Arabidopsis thaliana: one gene and its partner. The protein of the gene in region 2 interacts with the protein of the main gene of each other region in a pairwise test. Each region holds a gene or a part of one and is shown on either strand. Other genes may lie near its edges.

Region 1 (8,163 bases), on a different chromosome or scaffold from region 2:
TAACAAACCCAAAAAACGCATTCAAGAACAAATAAACTATGAGCTCAAGTCTTTGATTGTATTATCAAATCCCTAATTGCTAACATTCACTTAAATTTTCCATCTTTAGTTCTTAACAAGAGAATAATTCGAAGTCTTGATGAGTAAGAGTAACCTTGTGTTATCCTCTTCCTGAAACACATCGAGTCGTGACTTCTTCATCTGCTCGGAGACAACACCGAAAGCTAAAAACCCAGCCCAGGTAAACCCGGCGCCGATTCCGAACCGTCGCGTCACCGGAGAAGTAATCCAATCCGTCAATTGCTGCTCCTGCAATGTGACCACCGCCGTTGGTTGTGGATTCTCCGTGAATGTGACGCTTAGCGACTGCGATAGAAGACTCTGTTTCGGATGTTGGGATGGAGAGACGAAACGGTGGTGAGAAGGAACCGTCGCAGTGAAGAGAGTCGCCATTGTCAAAGATTTTTCGTAAAAGCAAAGTTTTTTAAAATATTATATTATTTTGATTCATATATCCCAATAATAAAGATCAGCCTTATCTTGTTCGTGTGATGAATAAAGACAGAGCTCAATGATTTTTTTTAATATATGTTTTCGGTCAACGTTTCGACGAGTTTGTCAATTGTTTTTTCTTTCTCTCTTTGTACAGTTTCAATATTGGAAAACAAAATAGAGGAAATTACGCATGAACATGAACATCGCTTGCAAGCAAAGACAACAAAACACACGAGCACAATCCTTCACCTTCTTCAATCGTCATCTTCCATGAATCTTTCTTTTTCACAATTCACAAGCTGTGTCAAACACTGAAGCTGAGGCAAAAAGTAGCAGAGAAGGAACATTTGTAGCTTTTTTTTCCTTCAAACAGATTGAATTCGTCAAAAATGTGTTTGCCACTTTGGTCGTCTTCTTCTGTTATCAATCCTTTTGTTCATGTTCAGTTGGTAATGAAGAGGAACTGGGGACTGGTCTTGGGATGTTGGAACCTGTTACAGGTTTCTGTAGCCGCTTTAGAGACGCCATTATCTCTGCAAAACTTGGCCTTAACTTTGAATCCCTGATAAACACACACAAAGCCATTACATGTGTTAACTGAGACATGGTCAAGTGAAATGATGTTGTTTAAGCACTGCTACTTCATATTGTGGCTGAAACATTGAAAAATAATCTATACTCACGTCTGCCAGCATTTACTGATGAGATCTGCAATTGCTGGATCTACAAAGTCGGGAATGTCAAGACGTCGATGCTGAAACCCAACTGCCCCAACTACTTGCATCGGGTTCATCTTTCCCCACGGTTGTTGTAACGTAAAGAGTTCCCATAAGATCACACCGTAGCTGTAAACATCGCACCTGTTTCACGTATTGTTTTTTCCTGACATTAGGCCTGCTTCTGACAAAAGGGAACAAAATGAATATCTAGTAGCAAAAGATCTAAGAGCATACTTCTCATCAGCAGGTTCGTTTCTTAGCACTTCTGGAGCCATCCATTCAGCCTTTATAAGACCAACACATAATTAGATTAACGAACTGGCAATTACAATAACTGTAAAAAGAGATGATTAAGACAGGGGAGACTATAACTTGCTTCTTACCGTCCCTGCTGTTGACTTTGAAGAGAGGTATGTACTGTGTTTCATCCTAGACAATCCAAAATCACACACCTGATATATATGAAAATCCAGTATTTGTTATGTAAACTTATAGCTGTTACATACGATATAACATTATCCACTTGGTAAGAAACAATAAATTTTATGGAGAGAATCTGACCTTCACGACCCAGTTTTTGTCAACTAGAAGGTTTGGGGACTTAAGATCGCGATGGACAATCATCGGATTACAGCTGTGCAAATAGTTCATTCCACGAGCCTGAATACAAGTAATATGTTACCTCAACACTCTACTGAAAGAATCAAGAAGTTACAAACAGGTGATATAGTAAGAGAAGAAAAGACTAATACAGCATCAAGGGCCATTCTCAGGCGCCTCCTCTCGTCTAATTGGTTATTTGGCCGGTGGATTAACCTATACAAGCTACCTCTGCACAAGTTTGGAAAAAAATATTATAATGTAAAGATCCAAAAACGAAGCACAACCGGATTGAACCTGTTCAAACCATCCAGATTTTAGAACTTAAAGCAAATACTTGAACAACACTCATTGATGCAAAGAAGATTTTGGCATTTAGAGGTCACAAAATAGATAAAAACAGAGGCATGCGCATCATGAATAAGGAGATGGAAATCGTTGTAGCCATGAGAATCATATCAAAGTAACTGAATCTTGCAAAGATCATAGTATTACCTAGGAAGAAACTCTGTAACAATTGAAAGATTCGGTGGGCGAGTCACAGCTCCCATGAAGAGAACAATGTTGGGATGTCTTAGCTTTTTCATGATTCGGACCTTGTATCACAAGAATATATAAGAAGGGTTTGATATAGAACTAATCAACATGGAAAATCAGGTAAAAGAAAAGATTAGAAGAAAGGCTCGTACCTCACTTCTGAATTCCTCCAATGCTTCTCCTGTTAAATCTTGATCAAGGAACTTCTTGACAGCCACTTCCTAAAGTTCAAGAGTTTCGACGATATGGAACTCAAACTAAGGAATTTCTAAACTCTTTTTTCATCGAGTTCAAATTCACAGTATAAATTGGAAAAGCAAATATAATACTCACAGTCCCGTGCCAATCTCCCCGATACACTTCTCCATAAGATCCTGTATCAAAAGAAGTAAAGTAGTTAATTATTTGAAGATGTAGTTACACCAAAGCAGATAACAGATGATGATAAGTCAGGTACCAAGTCCAATACGTTCTCCCACAGTAATTTCTTCCCACAAAATCTCACAGTCAGATACATCATCACAGTCTGACTTAGAACTTTCATTGCCAATAGATTTGTCAGATATTCTTTCCCCTCCTGAATTTGGCCCATGATTAGAGTCCCCACTACCTTGAGGCTCATGCCCACCAGAACCATCATCCCCGTCGCTATTCGAGCCTAATTCAAGTTGCCTGGACACGGCTGCAGCTGTTGCCACAACTGCAGCAGCAGTGGCCGTGGCAGCAGCTGCAGCAGGAAGTTCTATGGGGGAGGAGTCTGAGTTTGCAGACTTGGCAGCAGCAGCAGCAACCATGGAAGATGCAACAACAGCAGCTGCAGCTACAGCAGCAGGGACGGTTCTGGCATATTCTGTCGAAGATGCTTCAGAATGTGAAGAATCAGACTGACTTACAACTTTGCCATTATCACGTTGATCATGTGCATTTGTTTTAGATTGCACTCTTGGTAATGGAGGCAAAAACCTCACTGGACCAAAACCGTTTTGGTGTCTTCCTTCCTGAGTTGTCTCTAAATCTTTTCCTCTCTCTTTCTTGGCTTCAGTCGAGTTTTTGCTTTCAACAGTTGCCTCCAATTGCTGGGGATAGACTTCGGAAAATAAATTGGGAGGAGCTACAACTCCGCTTTCAAGTAATACATCATGAAGCTTCTGAGCTAACCGTGGATTCTCTTTAGCAGCATCAATCATATATTGTGAAACATCTTTGACTTTCATCCTTTGTGCAGCTGGGGAGCTAACCCCTTCAGTCCAAGAAGGTGATCTCATATGGGTGAAAGAATGAATAGGCCTGCTAGACAGATTTTGAAATGGAGCCTTTTCAACTTTCTTCTGATTTTTCACATCTTCTCTAGAAATATTTGGATGAACAATGAGATCGCCTCCACCTCCGGATTGGTTTCTCTCCCCAGAACTCTTGGTACTAGAACGATGTTCCCCTGTTCGAAACTCTGTATTCTCTTCATATGAGCTTTCAATACCATTGCTGGAAGAAGCTACATGAATTGAATCATTGTCTCCAGGACTAGCGGAATAGGCAGATTCATCATAGTCTATTTGTAGTCCAGCTGCATCAGCTGGAATAAGCGTGCCGGGATCTCCCATAAGATCAACAATGTACTCCCTGAAATTCACAATTGAATAGCATATAACAAAGTTTCTTTCTTTAAGCCTCAATATTAGCTTCAGGAGGTGCAGATTAGATAACAATATACATGAATGATAGACAAATATTGAATCTACACATTAATGTGATGATTACCTGCCATCATCAGCCTTAATAAAGTTCATTGCCACATCTTCAGAACCGGTATATTGCTGACCTTTGACTATTCGACAAGGAACACCAACACTATCACACAATACCTACAAAGTTTCATATAAAGAAAGAACCATAAGAAATGAAATAAACTTAAAAGTGCTGAGATTCAGAAGAAAAAGTGCATACTTTGAATAACAAGGCTCGGTGACGAGCCAAACCAATAGTCAGAGAACCAAGTGGCAAAACCATGCTTCCAAGAGTTGCTTTCAAACTATAGCTAAGACTCCTCCAAGCTCTCAACATGCTCTCTGGGTGCACGACTGGTCCACCCATGTAATCTCCCACTAAAATAGCCAGTTTCCTTACCAATTCACTATTCACAAAACCAGAGGAAGAAACTGATCTTGATTTAGCAGCAATATCAAGAGCCATCTGTTCAAGTCTCAACAGATTAGAATCCCCACTTCTGTTCACAAGAACAGCTTCCCATGTCACACCGTCTGAAACAGGTGTCCCTTGAAGATCGAGCAAAGGAGGTATTCTTTCTGCTGAGGATGCATTCAACACTCCATACAAGTCATAAAAACCATCCAAGATCTTGTCATCATAGCCAAGACAATTGTAATTCTGTGAATGCAACAATACCAAAATGAAATGAGTTCTTGGGAGTAACTAAAGAGTTTCTGTTATGCAGAGAAAACAATTGAATCAAAAGCTTACCCAGTAGCGATAAGCGATGAGTTCAGCTGGAGAGTTCTCAGGAGCACAAGAGCCTAAACTGAATTGCTTAATAGCCTCAATCTGAGTAGCCTCAGGATCTTCTCTAGCACTTAACTCTAAAGCCAACTGTATCTGATTCTCTTCTTCAACAGCTGGATCTTTGGAACCTAAATCCACATGTTCTGACCCATTAACAACAACAGTGTCATCAACCGTGGCGGCTCTGTTCTTGGCATTGAAAGAATTAGGAGGACTAGGGATTTTTCTATGACCAACAGAACTTAACCAATTAGATAAACCAGAAAAAGGTTTGATTTCAGGGCTATTGCTGTGATGAGACCTCGGTGATGATGATGATGATACATCGATAGACTTATGATGATTGCTCTTAGTTGTTGAAATTGATCCTTCAGCTTCATCTGATTGATTGGGCGAGATATGAAGTTTCTTAAGAAAGTTCTTCATGTTCATCTTCATACTCCAAATGCTAGAACAATGATCAACAGGTCTTAAAACCACTCCATCTCCCAAATTCTTCAAAGTTTCTTCTTTTACTTTCATAAACCCTAATTCCTCCCCGGAATTTAAATCAAAAGTTTGAAACTTTCACCGGAATTCACGAAGACCAATCAAAAAGAACAAAGATTTCAACTTTATTGGACTTCAAAAGGCAAAAACTTGAGACAGCAAAATTTGTAGAGAGCTTGAGCTCAAAACACACAGAATTTTTTTTTTTTTTTTGATAAATCACCAAAATGGTTAAAAGCACACACCCACTCAAATGCAGAATTTAAAGAAAAAAAGCATATGACTGACAATTTTCTCCGTACTGATATGAACCGCTAATTCTCCTCCTTCAACCAACTTGAATATGTATCTCTCTATCTATCTCTGACGCCACTTTCTCTGTCTAAAAAGTTGGACAAAGAAAGAAGTGGAGAGAGTGGCTCTTCTCTAGAAGAAAATTAAAGTTTGCATTTTTGATAATTGAGGAGGAGAGTTACTTACTGTGACATGCAAAACAAAACAGAACAAGAAAAAAGGCGTATCTTTTTCACTAAGCTTAGTGCGTGAACTTGAAAAGATGATGACGAAACATAATTAAATTGCACCAAGACAGACTTAACGTCAATTGAGGCATTTAAAACGGTTACTTTTTGTTTCTATAAACAGCATAGAATCTACATCAATTTATTCATTACTATGTCAAAAAAGAAAATTCTGAGAAAACTGTGAGATACATTTTTTGTCCTTAATTCACTAATATATAAATAAAAATACTTACGGGAATGTTTTCTTTAAAATTTTGCATTAGAACAATAAAAAAACTATCCAAAGTGGTTTAAAGCAATTTCTTTGATTCATTTTAAACGCTAGCAACCGCAAACTCAACATTTGCATATGGTAGTAGGAGAACCAATCAAGTTCTAAATCAATTTTCATTTTTCGATCAAATATATCAAAAGTCTTTTTGGTCATATAATTAAAACTGTATTTTTATTTTTTTTAATAAATAGTATAGCGTTTCGATCTTTTATACTTGTATCTCTTTTGGGAATAAAAGAAGAATAGCAATTGTCACGGCAATTAAGGACCATTAACTTTTTATATTTTGAGAATGACTAGAAATAGCTTAAGGTGTCAATTCTAAAGAAAAGACAAATGAGAATTTAACTGAATATTCACTTGAAAAGCACGTGGTTAATTGTATATTGCAGTGTCCGGTGAATCTTACTAAGATAGAGCTCAATTAATTAACGAGTTAGATAATTAGTACTCCGTTATCTTGCTTTTGATGAAACTCTATTTTCGTGAAGAGACACCGTTATCTCTTCGATCATTCAACATATCTATCACTATATACATATGTAATTAATTAGTTTATATAGTGGTTACGACTTACAACTTACAATAGAGATAGCTATGTATGTCATATATGCACAAAATATATGAGTTTATTATAGTATATGATTAATGTCAAAATATGGACAACCACACGTATGCATGTATGATTTATGTAATAGGTAATCATTGTATCTTCTTTGAACTTATTAAATGGTGTGAGCTATGAGCCAATAGTTGACCAACACGAATATTTATGATTTTTCCAGTGATCAACTCTATAGTGTCCACACGATTGTGAGGTTCAGAAACCATCAGGTAATTTTTTTTTAATGTATCATTAATTAAGGTAACTCTTTATGTGTCTTGGAAATTGTTTTCCACCATAGAAGATGATTATTTGTTGAAATAATTTATACGTAATTTTTTTTAAAAATTAAACTTTACATTTTAATTTTTATATACTGGAATGATAAATACGGTAAAAAACAAAAATATACTATTACCGTGGTTTTCATATTCATCCCCCCCCCCATTCGACTTAAATATGTTATCTACTTTTCCAACTATGACACTTCTCAAAAATCTATTTTATAGTATAAAGGATCTGTATTCCATAAAATAAAACAAGAAAAAAGGAAAACGATTGGAGGTTTTAAGTGCTCAAGGGTAGTTGGCTAACAATTCAATTTTGGGCGGCTTGAGATTTGTCCGAAAACATAAGAAAAGATTTTTGATTTGGAATAAATCTTATAGTAACATTAAAACATACAAAAAAAAAAAAAAAAGTAAATGGGGCTTGAGTTTTGTCCGAAAACATAAGAAAATATTTTTGATTTGGTATAAATCTTAGTAACATTTAAACAAACAAAAAAAGAAGAAGTGAATGGAGAGTTTCTATTTACTACACGTTATGTTTGGTTTAAGCCAATAAAAAAAAGCGTTTACGTAACCATAAAACATAGCGTGTGTGATTTTGCTCAGAAAAGAAGAGTTTAATAGGCCAAAGCAGCAAGATTAAAAGTTAAAAGTTAAAACCGTAAAAGAACATTCGTTTCTCCCGGGAGGTTTGACTAATTTGACTGTACCACGTGAAATGGACGCGCGAATGATAATGCGTCTAGTGACGCATGCCACGTCATAGTTATCCTATCAGAAAGCAAAACAAAAAAAACAATCTTTCAGTTTTTGTTTTTATGTCGTAAAAAGAATTTGGTGCATTCCAATTGGTGACAGCCACACATTTTTTTTGGTGCTGGGACCACTTCCCCACCTATCACTTTTCTCCTCTATCTCATACTCCTCCTTCGTTAAATCATTGAAAAAAATCTTGCTAATGTGTTTTAATTAGTTTAAGTTTCTATATCTATGCACGCTAGTTTAGGAATTAAGTATGGCATTATTTTGTTGAATGCGTCGAGGTGGTTATCCTTTTTTAAGAATCCACTTATAATTTTTTTTCTTTAAGAACCCACTTATACATAAAATGATA
Region 2 (6,586 bases):
GAATTAAAGAGTGTTTCCACTAAAGATTTCAACAAAATAAAGAGAAAGGAATCTGGTGACAGTAGCCAAAAAGTTCCATCATCGTCATCTTCAGTAAGTGAATACCGATTTTTGACACTAACCGTCACACCAGCCGCTCTCAAAGATGGTAGACTTGTAAGTTAAAACAACTCTCTAGGAGGAGTTTTGTTCCCTTGGTTTTGGTTATCATCAATGCTTTATGAAAGTTCACTTAGTTAGTGTAAGCTTATATTCTCCTTTGTTTGCAGCGTGTTCCAATCAAATTCATTAAGGGTAACCGAATGGAAAACCTAGGAATGAAGAAGATAACTCTGTTGGACAAGCATGGAGTAGAGTGGCCAGTGAATTTAGTCATGTACAAGGGAAATACACAGACGCGATTCGGTTCAGGGTTGAAAGAGTTTTTCAAGGCTAATGGCATCGAGGCATGCAAATCTTTTGTGTTGGAGTTGGTTTGAGAAGACAAAACAACTCTTCCTATGCTCAAGTTCTGCTCCAAGGCCAAGAATTGACTCTAATTTGCATCCAACTTGTTCACAAGTATAATCTTTTATATTGAATTCATCACCTATGTGGTATGAATCTAATGTAGTTATGAACTTTTTAGGTAAGAGTCAATGCGTCTATTTAAGTCAACAAAATATTTACCTACTTATGGGTCTAAATGAGTCTGTCACATGAATGGCAAACAATATGGCAATTCACGAACATTTAAATTCTACGTATAATCACCCTTTATTACCATAGAAGTCATTGTGTAATAGTATCTACATCACTATTGTAACTTTGTAAGCTAAAAAGCTCTGCTGATTTTCAAATGTTGTAACATACCACATCACTGAGCGTCGATCATCTTGGTGTCCATATCTCTCACCGGAGGTTTGGATTTTGTACAGACCAATGGAGTTGAAGTTGTAGGGTCTGACCAAGAATCGGCAGCCTGATATTTTACCTCTGGATCTTTGTTCCCATTTGCTACATCCTCTTGATGATCTGTTGCAGAGTCATCAATCGAAGAGTTGGACTCGGAATCCAATGTATCAATCCTTTCAACCTCACTACAACATTCAGAGGCCAATACTGATGGTGATGGTGATGGCGATGGTGATGGTGATGGTGATGGCGATGGTGATGGTGATTGCTCGCATACAGGGTCTTCAATGGTCGCATGGGTGCTGCTTCTGCTTTCAATAGCTCCTACCATTGAACTCTCAACTAACTCTTTTACGCAAGATTCTGTGTCCAATGTGTCTGTTTTCTTCTCGTCTTTAACTTCTGATCTAAGACATGAAGATGACGACCGAGCTTGAATCCTGCATGACAACAGAGAAACATAAGAAACTCACAAGCTCAACAACATTAGTCTGTTTATATTTTTCATCATATACAATCAATTTACGCAACTCTTAATGATGAAGTAAACACCCTCAATCTTGTGGTTATAGATTAGATTTACACGGAGAGCTGAACAACAAAAGACAGGAGGAAATAACAGCTTACCTGCTGTAGAGGAGCATATAAGCTCTTTGAGAAAGGACATCTTCTAATTCAACACTTTCTATCTGAGAGTATTTTCGATTACGGTTAGAGATTGCTCAACATTTATGGAATCATCACAATTTCATGCTAACAAGAAGAGCGGAAAGTAAATGAGTGTTACCTCGGAATCATCTATTCTATACCAGTTTCCGCAAAAATCCTTAATGTAGCATATGTAATGGCCGAAGAATGATGCATTCAGCATATCTAAATGGACAATCACTGCATAGAGTTTATATACATCTGATCCATCTCCGCCTTCACTCATGTAAGGATTAAGATCCAATGTCTCGGGAAAACTTATTCTTTTGTTCAATTTTCCGTATCTTCCTCCCTGTACATAATAATTTCACAGATGTATTTTAAAGACAACTTCTTCCAAGAAGAATCTAGCAAAAGGTAGGGGAATGCCACAAATACCTGATATCTTTTTAAGGCAATAGTAAGAATATTTGGAGCGCGTCGAATCGTAAGACGCTTACATGCTTTTACATAGTCACTACACCTGGACAGAAAGAATAGTATCGGGTTTAAGAAACTTAGTCAATTTGTCAACTAATCAACTAACACATTGCTTAAGAAACATAGCTTTTATACCTATCACATTTGTACATATTATCTCCATGAAGCCACTCTTCGGCTGTAAATTGATCAAGACATTCCTCCAAAGACCCCGCATCCCCATGCATCTCAACGATTAGATCCATCATATTTTCATATTGGTCAGAAACATGATTGCAAACAGTACATTGAACCTGGAAATTTGAAAATGCAGCAAATCAGGGAAAAAGCTCCACACACAGAGGAACATTAGAAGTTAATGTAAGTTTATCACAGGAAGGATCTTGATCGTTTTTATCAACTGAAATCAAGTTACATATATTCTCAATGGAGGCAGCCAGCTAAAGACAAAATAAGTAGCATGTTGAATTCTAACATGTATATGTATAACATGGAATTTCGTAAGATCCCAATAATTCTAGAGAGTGGAATTTCATCTATTGCTCGCTTGCCTTAATAGATGGACATCTGATATTTAGATCAGGAAATATCACCTGTGATTGAAGGAGACCTCCAAATATATACTGAATAAGTGTTGTTTCTTGTGAACGAGGAGGCACTATTTTTTCTCCACCGAATTCATCAAGGCAAACAGACTGCATCATATCAATCGCATACCTGCAGTATGTGAGTTGTATAAATCCATCAGTTGGGAGATTCACAGACTAAACACCACTAGGAATTAGCTATTTTCATGAGCAAGAGATACTGACCTCATGAACTCATGAGCATCCTCCTGTCTTCCATATCCAAGAGTTCCACCAATATTAGTTAACCGTGAAATAATGTTCATTGGTGAAAAAGGGAACCGACTTTGACTCGCTCTCTCAACATGGGTTTGAAATTCACAGAGGAAGCACCAATCGTTGCGCATACCTGTCAAACAAAACGTAGAATCAAAGCTAAAGCGAATACAGAAAACCACAAACGAAAGAGTTTGAAGCATTAGTGCAAAAATGAAAAGAAAGAAGTTTTACATTCTCTCTTGTGGCCTTTCTCCAGCAGATATGCAACAAGAGGACGTGTCCAGGAAAGGCATTGTAGAATCACATTGGCGAAACAACTGAAAGAGGAGTAAAGAAGATCATATTCAAGGGAGAAAAAAAAAATCCATTCCTTCAACTGATACTGTTAAGATATACTAGAAAGTAGATGAACACAAACCTATTTCCACAATTCATGAGCCCACAGGGAGCCAATTCTGGATTGTCCCAGTTAAAATATTCAACAAATTCTTCATATGGAAAAAGAACCTGCAGAAGATGCAAAACAAAAGTACAAGTTAACACAAAGACTCTATCAAGAGAGTGTCAACATGAGGAAAAAGAAGACACATTACTTCTCTTGGCTTGAGACTACTCTTGTTTTGGCCCCGTTCGGAAATCAGTGCAATACTAGACGCAGAACTATCCCCGAATGGAGAAGCTCTGAACCTTAAGCCATTCTTTGCAGATGGTGTTAATGTAGTAATCCCATAATCCCTGCAGTTTCTTTGATGACCCGAACTCCAATCTGACCTTTGGCACTCTGCTGAGCTGATAGCAAACAGACCATTCAGACAAAGATACTCAATTTCGAAAATATGCACTAAAACCAATTTTATTTTTTTGGGTAACAATGTGAAAAATTTATACCATTTTCGAATTTGTGAGAGAAGTTACAAAGAAAACAAGTAGCTGAACAAAGAAATCTACAGAAAATAAAGAAACAACATCACAGCTCAAACATCAATTGAACACTAGCGAAAACTCGGAGCAAAGCCGCGGGAAGAAACACCAAGATAATCCAAACTATCTGAGCTCATACAAATTAAGTTCACAAAAGTATCTAAGCAACAACTTCCAAACCCATGATTCTTCTATTGAAAAGCTCAAGACTTTGAAAATTGAAAAGAATTACACATCGCAAGCTCAAAGCAAGCAAACTAAATCAATCTTTCAATTACGCTAAGCTCGAGATGATCCCAACAAAGAGACTGAATTTGAGGGCATACCAGTATCGAACGGATTTGCAGCGGGAGCATTTCTTGGTGGAAAAATTCCCACAGACAGAGCAATCCTCAGCATCAACCGCCATGAAGTCCCTGTCGAAACCTCCGGCGGCGGCGGCTCCGATGTCGAAGTACTTAGCGGCGGTGTTTTTGAGAAAGTAAAAAACACCAACGGCGAGGAAAAATAGAGTCGCTATAAGGCGAGTGAAGACAGAGAGATCCAACGGAAAACCAACCTCATGCATCTAATTCGCTTCTCAAAATCATCGATCTCTTCTCCCTTCTCGTGTCTTCTGTATCTTTTATATATTTCAAGTATTCACCTTTTTTTTTTCTTTGTCTGTTCAAGAATTACCGCTTCGTTGATTTTTGTTACTTAGTAGAGAAGACAGTGTTCTATGTTGTTGGGTTTGGGCCTTTCCAATGCAATTACAAAGATTGGGCCTTTATATGCTTTTTTGTTTTCCTTTTTCAACTACGTTTTTTGTCGTTACCTTGTAATAATTCCTTTTTTTGGCTATGATTACTTTTCTTTTCCTTAATAAAACTATATTGGTTACGACAAAAAAAAAAAAAAAACTACTGTATATTGGTTTTGTATTGTTTTTGGCTATGGCTTGTTGCAGCAGATAAAGTCATTTTTTGTTTACCATTTCAATGCAGTGATGCAGATAAGGAAAAAAAAAAAACCATTTTAAGTTGTTATCACTTATCAGATACTAATTAATAAATATTATGGAAATACGACATTAGTCCGCCAACAGAGAACAAGAACATTATAAACTTTACGATTAATTAACAAAATGAAAAAAGGGAAAATAAAACAACTACATCTTAAACAAAGTCATATAATAAAAACAGAGGTTACAAGAGTCTTCAGTTTCACATTTAAACTTGATTATTACTTGAAGATGTTATCTTCTCCTCTCTCTGTGCCAAATTCAAATTGTTAGAAATTTGAACAAAACCAAAACCGAAACTAAAAGATTGTTATAAGAATGATAATATTACAGATTACAGATCATACCTAACTTAACTTGTTGATTTCCTGCAATGAATCTTCTAATTTCTGTTCCATTGTTTCAAGCTCTGCTTGGAACCGTCTGATACTAGTTAAAGTATCTACAACGCTCTCTTTCACCTTAGCCACGTGATCTGTGACAGAGCAAGCTTGCGTTTTCTGTAAGTTTCCTTGTTTACCACTGGATTTGTTAGATGCTCGAGACGGTTCTCCTTTTTCAGCTGTCTTCTCCCTTTTCTCAAGCTCCGGTCCCATTTTAGTTGCTCGAGAAGGTTCTCCCTTATCTGTTTCCTGGCTCCCATTATGGACTCGAGCTCTCTTGTGTCTCCTATCCTCTGCTTCGAATGAGGGTTGCTCTATCTGAAAACAAGTCGTTGTTTGATTTAGCAAAACCTAAAACGTGGACTGCAAGCTATTTGAAATACTGACCTTGGAGAAGAACTTGAATAAAGGACTTAAGCCTCCTCGAATCAACTCCAAAGTTAGTGACTCCCCTGCGCCTACTTCATTTGCGGCACAGAAACTTTTCCAGTCATTACCACCAAATATATGCATCCCTCCTCTATTATCAACCTGAAGCTTCATCGACCATTCAACTCTGTCTTTGTCCACCAGAATTATCTCCCCCGGATGTATGAGTCCATTCCCTTTCGTGAAACTTACCGGTAGATGCTGCAAAAGTATTCAGAATTAAAAAGACACTGCACTGAAGAAACCAGAGATAGAGGTTTCGAAAAGTCACCTGTTTGCCAATCTCAAGGCTGTTTAGTGTAGGAGTTAACTTCACAAACCGACTTTCTCCGATGCGGCTACAGAGCTGAAACACGGGCGTTTTCGCATTTTGCAGCAGTTTGAATGTGCAAGAATCTCCACCTTTTAATTTATTTTCGCTGCAGAGACTTTTCCAACCTCCAACAATAAAAACCTGACCAGACATTCTACTCCTTACTTCTGATTCCCATGACTTTCCTTCTTCATTCATCAATACTATCTCATGCATTCCTTTGTCTAAACCGTTTCGTTTTGCGAAATCCCTGGGCAGAGTCTGCATCAGTCATCAAATTGCATTGGGACTTATATACACTCACACAGATTTGAACTATAAATAAACATAACAACACCAAAGAAACCGTTAATCTGACTAACCACAAGATCATTTGATATGTTTGAGTGCGTTACGGATTGGCTAAAACAATTCAGATCTGCTGAAGACTGATCATATTCTTTTTGCAAATTCTCCTCAACTTCTCTCTCGGATATTTCTGAATCAGAAATTGAAACGTTTCAAGAATAGAAAAGAGTCTAAATAAATGTAAATGTGGTCACTGAATGATGATTCAATCATACCAACTTCACCACTCTCTTCGCCTTCTTCATGGCTGATAGACTGTGGGTATTGGATCTCACAGCAACTAGGTCCCAAAGCAGTGACATGGAACACCATGTCTCCTTCG

The links.
Region 1: the proteins of UBP18 (region 2) and AT1G73660 interact in a two-hybrid assay, tested with the Arabidopsis thaliana proteins (one study listed by BioGRID).

Annotation. Positions count from the first base shown.
Region 1 is NC_003070.9:27,691,329-27,699,491, forward strand, and holds AT1G73660 (protein tyrosine kinase family protein), read right to left. Parts: upstream 6,045-8,163; 5' UTR 5,391-6,044; coding exon 4,830-5,390; intron 4,737-4,829; coding exon 4,296-4,736; intron 4,214-4,295; coding exon 4,110-4,213; intron 3,972-4,109; coding exon 2,809-3,971; intron 2,726-2,808; coding exon 2,685-2,725; intron 2,573-2,684; coding exon 2,504-2,572; intron 2,411-2,503; coding exon 2,310-2,410; intron 2,046-2,309; coding exon 1,967-2,045; intron 1,875-1,966; coding exon 1,776-1,874; intron 1,667-1,775; coding exon 1,598-1,666; intron 1,499-1,597; coding exon 1,449-1,498; intron 1,356-1,448; coding exon 1,179-1,355; intron 1,058-1,178; coding exon 919-1,057; 3' UTR 565-918; downstream 1-564. Other genes in the region: AT1G73655 (FKBP-like peptidyl-prolyl cis-trans isomerase family protein), read right to left, coding at 155-453. UniProt on the Arabidopsis thaliana protein: Acts as a negative regulator of salt tolerance. Mediates sugar response during early seedling development.
Region 2 is NC_003075.7:15,335,151-15,341,736, forward strand, and holds UBP18 (ubiquitin-specific protease 18), read right to left. Parts: upstream 4,464-6,586; 5' UTR 4,357-4,463; coding exon 4,115-4,356; intron 3,657-4,114; coding exon 3,461-3,656; intron 3,375-3,460; coding exon 3,286-3,374; intron 3,185-3,285; coding exon 3,099-3,184; intron 2,998-3,098; coding exon 2,835-2,997; intron 2,740-2,834; coding exon 2,616-2,739; intron 2,316-2,615; coding exon 2,158-2,315; intron 2,066-2,157; coding exon 1,981-2,065; intron 1,895-1,980; coding exon 1,682-1,894; intron 1,584-1,681; coding exon 1,522-1,583; intron 1,335-1,521; coding exon 857-1,334; 3' UTR 593-856; downstream 1-592. Other genes in the region: AT4G31680 (Transcriptional factor B3 family protein), read right to left, coding at 5,139-5,492, 5,562-5,804, 5,875-6,177, 6,279-6,394, 6,480-6,586.